Linked DNA regions of Anolis sagrei. The protein of the gene in region 2 interacts with the protein of the main gene of each other region in a biochemical or structural test. Links are inferred from orthologs where the notes say so. Each region holds a gene or a part of one and is shown on either strand. Other genes may lie near its edges.

Region 1 (7,302 bases), on a different chromosome or scaffold from region 2:
ATTTTAGAGTATTTTGGATTCCAGACAAAGGTTGCTTAACCTGTAATTGATTTGTGTCCAATGTTTAGATGAAATCTAAAACGAATTATGCTCTTCCAAGACACAGTGACTATAATCGCAACACTAAATGTTTGCATTCTCAGAGCTGAGCTCTTCCACCTGTTTGATACAGGCAATGCACTCTCTACTGAGACTTTCCTGAGCAGCTTTTTAAAATTACCCAATTCATCTTTATAAGTGTAGAATTTAGAACGCTCTTACCAACTGGCCTACAAATGATTCTTCCCCTTTCCTGTCACCCACCAGCTCTACCCTTTTTCAGGACAAAATTCAAATAACTATGGGATTCCAAAGGAGGTGATACCAAATGAGGAGTGGCGTGGAAAACCTGCCAAATCAGTTATTCTTATTATTAATTATGTTTAATTGCCATCATTCAAAAGCAAGGGAAAGTTAGTACAACCACTTCTCCCCCGACCAAAAAAAAAATCAACTCTGTGCCAAATTTATCCTGCTTATGAAAGACAGCATTGTGTAGCGGTTTGACATCTATAACTCTGGAGACCAACGATGCAACAAGAGTGTAGAAATAATGCAGTTTGATATCAATTTACCTGCCTTGACTCAATTCTGTGGAACCATTAGAGTTGGAACTTGACAAAGACTTGAGTCTCCTCTGTCAAAGAGGGCTGGTGTTTCATGAAACTACAAATCCCATGATTCCATAGCATTGAGCCATGGCAGTCAAAGTGGTGTCACGCTGCATTCATTCTGTAGTGTAGATCAGTGGTTCCCAACCTGTGGTCTGTGGACCATGACAAGAACGAAAATATGATCTGCGGCCTCACCATTACTACACCGTTGCCATGAAACCACGCAGAAACAAGAGCAAGTCATCTCGCAAAACCCTCTTATAGTACCGAGGCAATAGGGATGTCGAGAGGGAAGAAGCCGTCTATCCATGAAAGATTACTACTGCCACATCAGCTCTGGATTATTAAATATGGTTTTCTGTGGGCGAGCAGATGGCGACTACTGGATGGGATATGTTTTGTATCATAAACTAAAGCTGATGTGGTCTATTCAATGCAATTTTCTGAATTAGCACTCCAAATAACCAAACTGAATCTAAAGTTGACCAAAAACTGATTTGTAACCCTTTTGGTACTAATGTTGGGGAGTGGTCCCTGGTCAAAGTGGTCCCTGGTCCAGTGTTCCCTGGTCAAGTGGTCCCTTTTCAAGTGGTCCCTGTCAAAAAAAAAAAGATGGGGAACCACTGGTGTAGATGCACCCCTGCAAAGCCATGGAAACCCACTGGGTGAATCACAGTCTGTCAGCCTCAGAATAATGCAAGCCTCTTCTTCTACAGTCACCTACATACCCACTGCCAGGACACCGAACTTGGAGGACAATCTTACTCGGACAACGAGGGATCGCCTAAGTAAGTAAGGTCAAGTGAACCCTGGTCAAGTGGTCCTTGGTCAAGTGGCCCCTGGTCAAAGTGATCCCTGTTCAAGTGGTCCCTGGTCAAAAAAGGTTGGGAACCACTGGTGTAGATGCACCCCTGCAAAGCCATGGAAATTCACTGGGTGAGTCACAGTCTCTCAGCTTCAGAATAATGCACGCTTCTTCTTCCACAGTCACCTACGTACCCACTGCCAGAACACCTAACTTGGAGGACAATCTTACTCAGACAATGAGGAATCGCCTAAGTAAGGTCAAGTGAACCCTGGTCAAGTGGTCCTTGGTCAAGTGGCCCCTGGTCAAAGTGATCCCTGTTCAAGTGGTCCCTGGTCAAAAAAGGTTGGGAACCACTGGTGTAGATGCACCTCTGCAAATCCATGGAAACCCACTGGGTGAGTCACAAACTCTCAGCCTCAGAAGAATGCAAGCCTCTTCTTCTGGACAAAGTTTGTCAAGGCAGAAAGTTCTGTGATAGGCTGGAAACAACTAGAAGGGCACACAACAACAAGAACAACAACATGGGGAAAAGGAGGGGGGGGCAAAAGGCTGAATGAATCTGGACCTCACAACCTCTGAGGATGCCTGCATAGATGTGGGTGAAACGTCAGGGGAGAAGGCTTCTAGAACAGGTTGTTGTAGCCTGAAAAACCTACAACAACCCTGTGATTCTGGCCATGAAAGCCTTTGACAATACAATCTGGCCTTGCTCTCTCTCATACACACTGAGATGCATATACTGTAGAACAGGCATGGTCAAACTTCAGTCCTCCAGGTGTTTTGGACTTCAACTCCTACAATTTAGGAATTGTGGGAGTTGAAGTCCAAAACACCTTGAGGGCCAAAGTTTTCCCAAGATGTGCTGTAGAATGGATACAGTTTGACACCATTTGAGGCCCCATCTGCACTGACATCCAATCCAGTTTCTGAACCCAGACCTTTTTGCTTTGAACTGGATTATATGGTAAGGTAGATTCATCTAATCCAGTTCAAATCTGATGGTCTGGGTTCACAAACTTGTCGGTGGAGATCCAGCTTGAATTGCCAGGATGTGAATAGTGTGAGTTGTAGTTTCCCTAAGTCTTCTTTCACCTTCCCTGCTAAAGAGATGCCGGTGCATCACCCAACTCAGACTCCCAGGAGCCCAAAGCGGTGTCAAAGTAGGGTGTAGACAGCGGAACCCAATTCGAGGCGAGGTAGGGTGGGGGAAAGGGAGGAGAAGGGGCCACTCTGCCCTCCAGCGTGATTCCTAGGAAGGTAAAGTGGGCGCTACACTCACCTTTGGCGAGGATGCGAGAGCCTCTTTTATCTCCCGGCTCGAGGGCTGCGGCTGAGGATGGACCTGCCCAGGACTGCCATCTTCAAGGGCTGCCAGAGTCCGGAAAGTAAAAGTTGCCCCGACAGATGCAGAGGGAAGCGAAGAGGAAAGAGGAGGAGGGAGAGCCCGTCATGAAGAGGAGAGGCGGAGAAGGGGGAAGCCTCTGCCTGCTTCGTCGTCGTCGTCCTCCCTGCCGCTTTTGCTGCTGCTGCTGCATCCACTGCGAGGGGTTTCTCTCGGAGCGCAGCGCTCGCAGCCCGACGCGGCCACTCGAGGAGGATGGACTAAAAATAGCCGGCAAAAGGGAGGCGGGCGGGAGGCGGGCGCCGACGACGCCTTTGCCTTTGCCTTCGCCGCCCAAGGAGAGGCGGGGGAACTCCGAAACTGAGCGGGGAAACAGGGCAGGGGGTTGGCAGGGGCGAATGGCAACGCTAAAGCCTTCCCGAAAAGGGTGAGAGGTGGGATCCAGGCTGTGCCTTTGTTCGGACACAACCGTCCCTCTTTTCTTTCTCTCCTAATCGAGGTACCCATTAGTAAGGATGAACGAAAGAAGGATGCATTGTTGGAGATGGGCCCATAAGGGTGTGGGTAAACCACATCTCCCATCATCATCTGTCGCACCCAAACTGCATCAGTAGTTCAAGTTGGGTCTGTGTGCCAAGTCTGGTTCAGATCCAATCAATGGTTGGGTTCCGACTGCTCTCTGGACTTAGGTGAACTCTAAATCCCAATATCCAAGGGCAATTGCCCCCAAACTACACCACTTCAATTGGCCAAGTTGGGTCTGTGTGCCGAGTTTGGTCCAGATCCATCGCTGGTTGGGTTCTGACTGCTCTCTGGATGTGGGTGAACTAGAAATCCCAATATACAAGGGCAATTCCCCCGAAACCACACCACTTAAGTTGGCCAAGCTGGGTCTGTGTGCCAAGTTTGGTCAAGATCCATCTTTGGTCAGGTTCCAACTGTTCTCTGCTTGTGGGTGAGCTATAAATCCCAATATCCAAGGGCTGCTCAGCCATAGAAACTACTGGATTTGCTTGGACATGGCTCTGTTTCTTAGCCTCAGAGGAAGCAAAAGCAAACCTCTCTCTGAAATAAATTCAGACAAGAAAAACCATTGGCTGTACAGTCAGCCCTCCATATTAACAGGATACCCTTATTCCTTGCCACTGCCCACTCCTTGATTTGTGTGTGTGTGTGTGTGTGTGTGGTGTCAGGAGTGACTTGAGAAACTGCAAGTTGCTTCTTGTGTGAGAGAATTGGCCATCTGCCAGGACGTTGCCCAGGGGACACCCGGATATTTTGATGTTTTACCATCCTTATGGGAGACTTCTTTCATGTCCCCGCGTGAAGAGCTGTAGCTGATAAAGGAATGCATAGGATCTAAGCAAGCAGCCATAAATTTGACAGAAACAGCAGTCTTAAACCTATTCATAACCAAATATTACTGTATTTGTTTGACACAGGACGTTGTGTCAGATAAATAGGCATATGACTGCATCCAAAAGACTGTTAGATGTAGCGAATCTGAATTGTCTTTAGTTAGCTAAATAATGACTATGCCCTAGAACAATACGAGGAAAATGCATTGCAAACTAGTCTTAGCAAGGCTCACTTTCAGATTCCAGACATGGTTTATCAGTTTTACTAGCATGTGGGTTAAACCACTGAGCTGCTAATCTTGTTGACCGAAAGGTCACAGGTTTGAATCTGGGAAGCAGTGTGAGCTTCCGCTGTTAGCCCCAGCTTCTGCCAACCTAGTAGTTCGAAAGCATGCAAATGTGAGTAGATCAATAGGTACCGCTCCGGCAGGAAGGTAATGGCGCTCCATGCAGTCATGTTGGCCACATGACCTTGGAGGTGTCTACGGACTAAACTGGCTCTTCAGCTTAGAAATGGAAATGAGCACCAACCACCAGAGTCGGACACGACTGGACTTAACGTCAGGGAAAAACCTTTACTTTTACATTTTTTACTTTTTCCTTTAACATTTTAAAAGTGGCTCCTAATGTGTTTAAATTTAAATTTAAATATCCATTCAAATCAGGGATAAGAAATCTTAACCAGCCATAATACTTGGGACTATTGGTTCTACAGTCTCTCCCCATTGGTTTTTATGTTTTGGACTTGTACACCTGAAAGGTCTGTTTCCCTACCAATGATTTCATTGGTCAGCAATGTGTTTAAAAAACCCTTTTATGTACAAGTGCAAAACATCAAAAGATAGCATATGTCTCCACATATTCATAGATGTTTGCTGTACAAAGGCAGGTTCTGAAGACGGGGAAGGGCCAAAATAGCATTAAACTTCTTTTGCTTTCCATTATTACTTCAATAGCTTGCTATTCCTCCAAGAAATATATTCCAGTAGGCATAATTCTTACCCAAAACACTATGAAAAATGCTCCTCCATAAACATGCCTAGAATCTTTATTGCATGAATACACTTAATGTATGTGTATTCAAAATAATATAACTTTAATCATAGCTAGAAAATTAAAATGCACAAAAATCATGAAAACTCTTATATAGCAAATTATGTATAAGAAAGATTTAGTCTAAACATTATGAAAAGCTTACTGACAGCAAATGCTGTTTGAAAATAGAATGTGCTATCTCAGGAAGGGGGGGATACTGCTTTGTGAGAAGTTTTTTTAACAGTGATTAAGTAGCCACGGGGGGGGGGGGGGTTAGGGGTTCAATGCCCCCCTCCCCTGAAAAAAAAACTGGTTTACTCATGAATTTTAACTGGTTAACCAAATCCCCATGCTAAGTCTATGAGACGCAAAAAATTAAGAGTCCCTCCAGAACTGCAAGCGCTATCTCAAGCAAATATTGACAATTTATTCACACTGTCATTACTTGCAGCAATAGCCGATGTAGTGAAGCAACCAAGTTGGGGGGGGGGGGAGTGTTGAATGCTCTCATTAAGGAGGCCAGACTTGGTGGAGGTGGTTGACAGGGGTGGAGCTGCAGGCTATTGAAGGCTGCTCTGCCCCCTGCTGTGCTCTTTGCTTAGGCGTGAGCTCAGAGGCAGGTTTCAACCCCCCCCCACGTGAAATTTTCAAATCCCCCCCCCCAAATTTCAACCCCTCCCAAAAAAAATTCTGGCTACGGCCCTTGCCATGTCTCAGGGGCCTCAGTAGTGGATCTTTGCATTAGTAGGGGAGTAGACAAGATGACTGTTGGAGTGCTTTACAACCCTATGAATCAATGCATCTTCCTTTTCATTTTAGCAAGTTTTAATAGTTCTTCTTTGTGTGTTATCAGTGTAAAAATCTGGTTTATGCTTTATATTTTTGAAAAAAAACTACCAATAGCATCAAAATGTTGTCTTCAGAAATTGGGGAAAATGTCATTTCACTTGCCAAGGTATACAGGCACTCCCCAAGTTATGAACCAGATAGGTTCTGTAGATAATGAGTTACACGTAAAATTTACCTGTTCTGACTTACAAACAAATTCAGTTGAAGAACAAACCTACAGAGCTTATTTTGTTCATAACTTAGGGAGTGCCTGATGGCACAGTGAGCTGCTGAACTTGCTGACCAAAAGGTTGGCAGTTCAAATCTGAGGAGTGGGGTGAGCTTCCGCTGTTAGGCCCAACTTCTGCCAACCTAGCAGTTTGAACATGTAAATGTGAATAGATCAACAGGTACTGTAGGAAGGTAACAGCAGTCCATGCAATCATGCTGGCCACATGACTTTGGAGGTGTCCTGGGAAACCTTTATCTTTACACTATATATAAGTAAAAGTAAAGGTTGTCTCCTGACATTAAGTCCAGTCATGTCTGACTCTGTGGTGTGGTGCTCATTTCAATTTCTAAGCCAAAGAGCTGGCGTTGTCTGTAGACACCTCCAATGTCGTGTGGCCGGCATGATTGCATGGAGCGCCGTTACTTTCCCGCCTATTGATCTACTCACATTTGCATGTTTCAAACTGCTAGGTTGGCAGAAGCTGGGGCTGTCAGAGGAAGCTCACACTGCTCCCTGGAATCGAACTTGCGACCTTTCGATCAACAAGCTCAGCAGCTCAGCGCTTTAACCCACTGTGCTACTGGGGGCTCCTAGACACTATATGTGTGTGTGTGTGTGTGTGTGTGCAACCTTCGTTCATCCAACGTTCTGTATTATCCAATGCAATCTGCCTCCAGCCCTGATTCACAGCTGTTTCAATACATTGTGATGTTTTGGTGCTAAATTGGGAAATACAGTAATTACTACATGATATTACCATGTATTAAACTGCTTTTGCTGTCAATTTGTTGTAAAACATGAAGTTTTGGTGCTCAATTTGAAAAATCATAATGTAATTTTATGTTTAATAGGTTTTTCCTTAATCTCTCTTTATTATCCAATATTTTTGCTTATCCAGCATTCTGCTGGTCCGTTTATGTTGGATAAGCAAGGCTCTACTGTATATATAAAAGCTTTGGATAGCATACGGACTGCCTTGACTCTGAAGGAGCTGGGGGTAGTGATGGTCGACAAGGAGCTCTGACGTGGGCTGGTCCATGAGGTCA
Region 2 (7,453 bases):
GGCAATGGTAAACACTTCATAATAATAATAATAATAATAATAATAATAATAATAATATAGCAATGGCAAACACCTTATACTAACAACAACAACAGTAACAATAACCAACTGTATTTATATTTCACCACCATCTCCCAAAAGGGATTCGGGGCGGCTTACAAAGCACATAGTAGTGCAAACAGAATACACAAAATACAGTAAAATACATATAACACATAATATGCCTTCCGTATAAGGGCAACCTTAAGACCGCTATAATGTGGAAATGAAGACAAATAACAAAGGCAGAGAAGGCTCAAGACCTTACAAAACTACCCCGTAGCATTGAGCCTTGGCAATTAAGGGGGCATCAAACTGCAGTCATTACACAGTGCAGAAGCAACTCTAATACATACTTAGAAATATCAATAAATACACTGAATCGGAGATTGCAAAGGATGCTCAAACCCTGCAATCTCATTTCTCCTCTCAAAGGCAAACAACCCAATACCAATGATTTCAAAAGAGGGCAGGTTAAAGGACCTGAGATACTAAGAAAACTTCAGCTGATAGAGTTTCTTAGGAAATGCAAGCATTTAGACCCCTCTCCAATTAATTTGGAGAGAAAAGCACAATTCGGAAGTCAATCGGGTACAAAGGTGGAAAGGGCTACTTATCAGACCTCCAATTTACTGCATTTCCTCTTTTTGAAATCCTCAAAGTATAAAGGATATTAATTATTTCAACCCGCAAGGTTGAAGTTGCATCCACCTCAAAGCAAGTTGTTGAGGAAAGCAGAAAGCAAAATAGGACAGGAGTGTATATCGAACAATGTAATATATTTTCTCCACCTTATTTATTATACCAGAATGACAGATCATAAACAAACGTGAGCTTTGATTTATACAACTAGCTGTGGTTAACCCTTGGAACTCACTGCCACAAGGTGTGGAGAGGCCTTTGAAAGTGGGAAGCATTGAGATGGATTCATACATTGGTCTTATTTTCATTGCAATGGTGGGCAGCCACACACAAAAACTCTTCCAAAGATGAAACAACATCATTCAAGAACGTATGCTGCACTTGAATTGCCATGTGTCAATGGTATAGAATCTTTAGATTTATAGCTTTGCCACGTCTGTAACTGTCTCTGTCCAAGAGACAACACCCAGGATCCCATAGCACTGAGCCATGACAGAGAAAACAATTTCAAACTGCATTCATCCTGCTGTGCAGACGCATCCCTTGTGGCAGGGAGTTCCATAGGACCTCCTCTATGGATTCTCCTTATCCTGGGACCCTTCCCCTTCCTCCATTCTGCTTTTGGAGTCCACACCCCCCCCCCCCACAAGGAGACAAAGCCCACCCCATCTTTTTTAGAGACACCCCTCACCCCAGTCCCCAAATGTATAACTGTAAACAGGCAATGCAAAGGCAGGAAAGAACCCGGTATCCAAACCTTTCCTTTCTTTCCCCTTTGCGTACAGCCATTCCTGCCCCCTTGGCAACCTTTGTGGCAACCTTTGAGCCTTTCTTTGGGATGAGCTGAAGAAAAGCCCAGTCTCCACACATTCCCATCCCTTTTTACACACAGCCAACTCTGCTCCTTGTGGCGAGGAGTTGCAAAGGCTCCCCCCTTGGCCTTCTCCAGGGACCTATTCCCTTTCCTCCAGTGGCCTCTTGGGGTCCACAATCCCCTCCTTTAGGGCACCCTGCCTTTGAAGCCTTCTTTGGGATGAGCCCAGTCTCCAAACCTTCCCTTTCCTTTTAGACACAGCCAACTCTGCTCCTTGTGGCAAGGAGTTGCAAAGGCTCCCCCTTGGCCTTTTCCTGGGACCTTTTGCCTTTCCTCCAGTGGCCTCTTGGGGTCCACAATCCCCCCTTTTAGGGCACCCTGCCATTCATCATCCCTCCTTTTCGGGCACTTTACAATTCATAACCCCTTATTTAGGAAGAGCTGGGGAAGAGCCCAGTCTCCAAAGCTTCCCTTTCCTTTCAGGCACAGCCAACTCTGCTTCTTGGGGCGAGGAGTTGTAACGGCTCCCTGGCCTTCTCCTGGGACCCTTCTCCTTTCCTCCAGTGGCCTCTTGGGGTCCACAACCCCTCAATTTAGGGTACCCTGCTTTTGAACCCCTCTTTGGGAAGAGCCGAGGAAGAGCCCGGTCTCCAAACCTTCCCTTCCCTTTTGACGCACAGCCAACTCTGTTCCTTGTGGCGAGGAGTTGCTAAGGCTCCCCCCCCCCCCGGCCTTTTCAGGGGACCGATTCCTTTTCTTCCAGTGGCCTCTTCTTGTCCGAAATCCCCCCCCCCCTTTTTTGGGCCACCCTGCCTTTGAAGCCTTCTTTGGGAAGAGTTTTAGAGGAGCCCGCCCTGCCTCGCAGCCTTCTTGGCCTGTTGTCGCACAGCCCGCTCTCCTTGCCGAGGCTCCCCGGGCGCCCCTGGTTCCTCGGGGTGCCTTGGGGGCCCCTTTCCCCTCCCCGGGGGGCCCCTGGTACTCACAGGGCGGCGGTGTTGGCGGGGAAGGGCGCCCCCGAAGGCGGGAAGCGGGGCCAGCCCTTGTTGGCGCAGTCCAGGGCGCAGGCGAGGGCGCTGGCGGCGGGGAGGCTCCTGCAGCTGCAGTCCGGGGGACAGGGCTGGCAGCCCCCGCCGCCGCCTCCTCCTCCTCCGCCGCCGCCTCCTCCTCCTCCTCCCCGGGGCCCTCCGGCTCCGACGGGGCCCGGGGCCAGCCCCCCTCCCAGCAGGCAGCACAGGAGGCACCAGCCCGGGCATGGCTTCAGCGCGGGCATGGCATGGCCCCCTCCCGGGCCCTTCAGTCCCAGCCCCGCACCCACATGGCCGCGCCTGCTTTGCGCGACTCCGTCTTCTCGTTTCTGCCTGGGCGCTCTGGACGCTTCGCTCCGGCCTCTCTGCGCCTTCCTCCCTTCCTCCCTTCCTCTTCTCTTCTCTCCTCTCCTCTCCTTCCGCCTCTTTTCTCCCCCCTCTCCTTTCCCCTCTCTTCCTCCTCTTTTTTCTTTCTTTTTTGGGACGTCCTCAAGTCTTCCTCATTCCATCCAGGCGGTGGCAGCAGGAGCAACCAAAAGGAGCTCATTTTGGAGAGCGGGGAGGGGGGGGGGAGTATCATACCAGGCTTGAGTGGAAAGTAATGCCTCCACCTTCCTAACTCCTCAACAGACGGCAGTACTGGTATGCGGCAGGTACTGGCTTGTTCCGTAGACTCTCCTCTACAGCTGCCAAAGGTGGAATCAGGTGTCAAACAGGGATGTGTTATTGCCCCAACCTTATTTTCCATCTTCATTGCTATGATCCTTCATCATGTTGATGGGAAGCTTCCCACAGGAGTGGAAATTTATCTGTCGGACAGATGGCAAGCTGTTTAACCTCAGCAGACTGAAAGCCAAAACCAAGGTCACAACAACATCTGTTATAGAACTCCGGTATGCTGATGACAACGTCGTCTGTGCGCATTCAGAAGAAGACCTACAAGCCATTCTAAACACCTTCGCAGAAGCATACAACAAGCTTGGCCTGTCATTTAAAAGCAAGAAAACCAAAGTGCTCTTTCAGCAGTTCCCAGCCAGTCCCTCTCCAATGCCAGAAATACAGCTTAATGGTGTAACATTAGAAAATGTTGACCATTTCCACTACCTTGGCAGCCACCTCTCCACAAAAGTCAACACTGATACAGAAATACAACACTGCCTGAGCTCTGCAAGTGCAGCATTTTTCCAAATGAAGCACAGAGTGTTTGAGGACCGGGACATCCGTAGGGATACCAAGGTGCTTGTTTATAAAGCTATAGCCCTCCCAACCCTGCTATATACTTGCGAGATGTGGACTATCTATAGACATCACAAGCAACTCCTAGAACAATTCCATCAGCGTTGCCTCCGAAAAAGGCTGGCCCTTGAGCGCTTCAGCTGGAGGTCAGCTGTGACCAGCAGTGCTGTAGAATTTGAAGTGGCACGAATGGAGGGTGAAAGAGAGAAACATGTCAAGAGGAAGGCACGTCAAGCCAACCCCACCAGGACTGCCTTCCACCTGGAAAGCAATGCCCTCACTGCGGGAGAACATGCAGATCAAGAATAGGGCTCCACAGCCACCTATGGACCCACCTCCAGTACACCAATCTTGGAAGACAATCCTACTCGGACAATGAGGGATCATCTAAGTAAGTAAGTACTGGTATGTGGCAGGTACTGGCTTGTTCAGTAGACTCTCCTCTACAGTTTCATTTTGGCTGGAAGCCTTAGCATTGAACGGTTGTGTTGTTAAATTGTGAAGTATGGAACCCTGTGCAGACGGTCGGTCAATGCGACTTAAGCAATGTGCAGTCATTGAATTCTTGACAGCAGAAGGTGTCACCCCAAAGGAGATTCATCAGAGAATGCAAGCTGTTTATGGTAATTGTGTTGATGTGAGTTCTGTGCATCATTGGGTGAGTAAGTTTAAAGATGTTGAGGTGGGAACATCTGACTTGCATGACAAAGAGTTGGACATCCTGTGACAGCAACCACCGAGTTTCATAAGCAAAAGGTTGACAGATTGATTTAGGATGATCATCCTCTTGGTATGTTTCTCTCTTTCACCCTCCATCCGTGCCTCTTCCAATTCTACAGCACTGCTGGTCACAGTTGACCTCCAGCTGAAGCGCTCAAGGGTCAGGATTTTTCGGAGGCAACGCTGATGGAATCGTTCTAGGAGTTGCTTGTGACGTCTATAGATAGTCCACGTCTTGCAGGCGTATAGCAGGTTGGGAGGACAATAACTTTATAAACAAGCACCTTGGTCTCCCTACGGATGTCCTGGTCCTCAAACACTCTGTGCTTCATTTGGAAAAATGCTGTACTCGCAGAAGCATATGAGAAATTTCAAGCATTTCACAGGAACGTATGGGTCACATCATTGCTTTGCTTGGCTATCGGAAGATCTGTGCACAATGGGTACCCAGGATGCTAATGCCTGAAATGAAAGCGCACAGACTTGAAACTTCAGAGACTGGATCTCACCACCGTATGACATCCTCCTTACAGTCCAGATTTAGCACCATCTGACTTCCATCTGTTCCCGATAATGAAAGAAGATCTGCAGGGACATCATTATGCTTCTGATTAATACTTTGAGAGAACTGTGCGACGCTGCTTGCGGAAACAGAGTGTCGACTTCTTCTGTGACGGCTTCAGAAAACTTGTTCATCGTTGGCAGAAATGTATCCAATTGTCTGGTGATTATGTGGAAAAGTAGTAGTTAAAGAGCACATTCAAAGGATTATTCCTGTGTTCGATTAAGATATTCCCATCCAAACCCAAGTAACGAAGGTGGAGGCATTACTTTTCATTCAACCCTCAGAGAATAATAAGAGCTGGAAGAGACCACACGGACCATCTAGTCCAACCGCCTTCTTTCATGCAAGCAAAGCACCCCCGACAGATGGCCATCCAGCCTCTGTTTAAAAAAGTGTTTCTCAACCTTCCTAATGCTGGGATCCCTTAATACAGTTCCTCATGTTGTGGTGACCCCCAACCTTATTTTCCCATCTTCATTGCTATGATCATCTTGTTGACAGGAAGCTGAGTGGAAATAATCTATCAGACAGGTGGCAAGCTATTTAACCTCAGCACTCTGCAAGCCAAAACCAAGGTCACAACAACATCTGTTATAGAACTCCAATATGCTGATGACAATGTCGTCTGTACACACTCAGAAGAAGACCTACAAACCACTCTAAACAACTTCACAGAAGCATACGAGAAGCTCAGCCTCTCATTGAACATTGAGAAAACCAAAGTACTCTTCCAGCAGGCACCAACTAATCCCTCTCCAATGTCAGAAATACAGCTTAATGGTGTAACATTAGGAAATGCTGCCATTCCCCTACCTTGGCAGCCACCTCTCCACAAAAGTCAACATTGACACTGAAATACAACACCACTTGAGCTCTGCGAGTGCAACATTCTTCCGAATTTGATTGGACTTAATGTCAGGGGAAAACCGTTGCAGACTCAGACTTGGTTGTGTTAATATTTTAAGGGCCAATATTTTTAGTGTATTTTATTGCTTTTTAAATGTATTTTTATTGCAGTTGACCTGTTGATGTTAATTGTTGTGCTCTAACTGTTTCTTTGTCGGCATCTAATGACTGCAAATTGTAAGCTGTCCTGAATCCCCTTTCGAGGGTTGAGAAGGATGGGATACAAATGCTCTGAATAAGTAAATAATAAATACCTTAACCTTAATCTTGGTATTAATAATATTAGTAATAATAATTGTGCAGTTTTCTGGCATTGTATATTTTTGCCGCTTCTGTGACTGTTCATTTGTATTTTGATTCTGTAGCTCACTTGTTGATGGATGTCCAGAATCAGCAGCATCCACCATAGTCCTTTTCATCCCGGACATCGGCCGAGCCAGTATAGACTTAATTTTGGTTTGTTTCTCCATAGTGCTAATGGGTTGGGTGCTCTTAGTTCCACTTCTCAGCTGAGACCTCTCTGGCTTGGTTGGACCTGCTGGTAGTTTATTTATTTATTTATTTATTTACTATTCTTGTATACCGCTGTATCTCAAGCCCGAGGGCGACTCACAGCGGTTTCCAGAAAGCAAACAACAAAGACAGTAAAAACAGCAGTAATCAATAAGTCAAACAGTTAAACTACACAATTCCATTTCTAGCAATAAACAAACATCAATACACAGTTATCACAAAAAACCCACCCCGGGTCGCCTCATCTTCCAAACGTAGTCCAAGTTCGTTGTCCATTGTTCCGTTCCTATGTTCAATTTACCAGAGATTGCACTAAGTTACTCAAATGCCTGCACAAACATCCAGGTCTTTAACTTTCTACGGAATGTCATAAGCGATGGTGCCAGCCTAACATCTACAGGAAGGGCGTTCCACAGCCGAGGAGCCACCACCGAGAAGGCCCTATCTCTCGTCCCCGCCAGCCGTGCTTGAGAGGCTGGCGGGATCGAGAGCAGGGCCTCCCCGGAAGATCTCAAAGTTCGGGTGGGTTCATAGGCCGAGATGCGGTCAGATAGGTATCTTGGGCCGGAACCGTTCAGGGCTTTATAGGCCAGTACCAACACCTTGAATTGGGCTCGGTAGCAAATCGGCAGCCAGTGGAGCTGGTGCAACAGGGGGGTTGTGTGCTCCCTGCGCTCCGCTCCCGTTAGAATCATGGCTGCCGCGCGTTGGACTAGTTGCAGCTTCCGGGCCGTCTTCAGGGGCAGCCCCACGTAGTGAGTGTTGCAGTAGTCTAGGCGGGATGTGACAAGAGCGTGTACCACCGTGGCCAAGTAGTTACACTACTGCCAAGCCATCAGAACAAATGCCATTAAGGCTAGGATCGAAAATTCAGCTGATGACCCAAAATGCAGACTGTGCAAGGAAGCTGAGGAAACCATGGACCATCTCCTCAGCTGTTGCAAGAAAATCACACAGATGGACTACAAACAGAGGCACAACTCTGTGACCCAG

Evidence for each region. The genes of interacting proteins can lie anywhere in the genome.
Region 1: the proteins of PKD1 (region 2) and HDAC9 form a complex in vitro, tested with the Homo sapiens proteins (2 studies listed by BioGRID, with this or other methods). The link is inferred for Anolis sagrei from reciprocal best matches to the Homo sapiens genes PKD1 and HDAC9.

Annotation. Positions count from the first base shown.
Region 1 is NC_090026.1:95,497,613-95,504,914, forward strand, and holds the start of HDAC9 (histone deacetylase 9), read right to left. Parts: upstream 3,048-7,302; 5' UTR 2,741-3,047; intron 1-2,740. UniProt on the Homo sapiens protein: Responsible for the deacetylation of lysine residues on the N-terminal part of the core histones (H2A, H2B, H3 and H4).
Region 2 is NC_090034.1:21,180,137-21,187,589, forward strand, and holds the start of PKD1 (polycystin-1), read right to left. Parts: upstream 3,004-7,453; 5' UTR 2,766-3,003; coding exon 2,479-2,765; intron 1-2,478. UniProt on the Homo sapiens protein: Component of a heteromeric calcium-permeable ion channel formed by PKD1 and PKD2 that is activated by interaction between PKD1 and a Wnt family member, such as WNT3A and WNT9B. Both PKD1 and PKD2 are required for channel activity.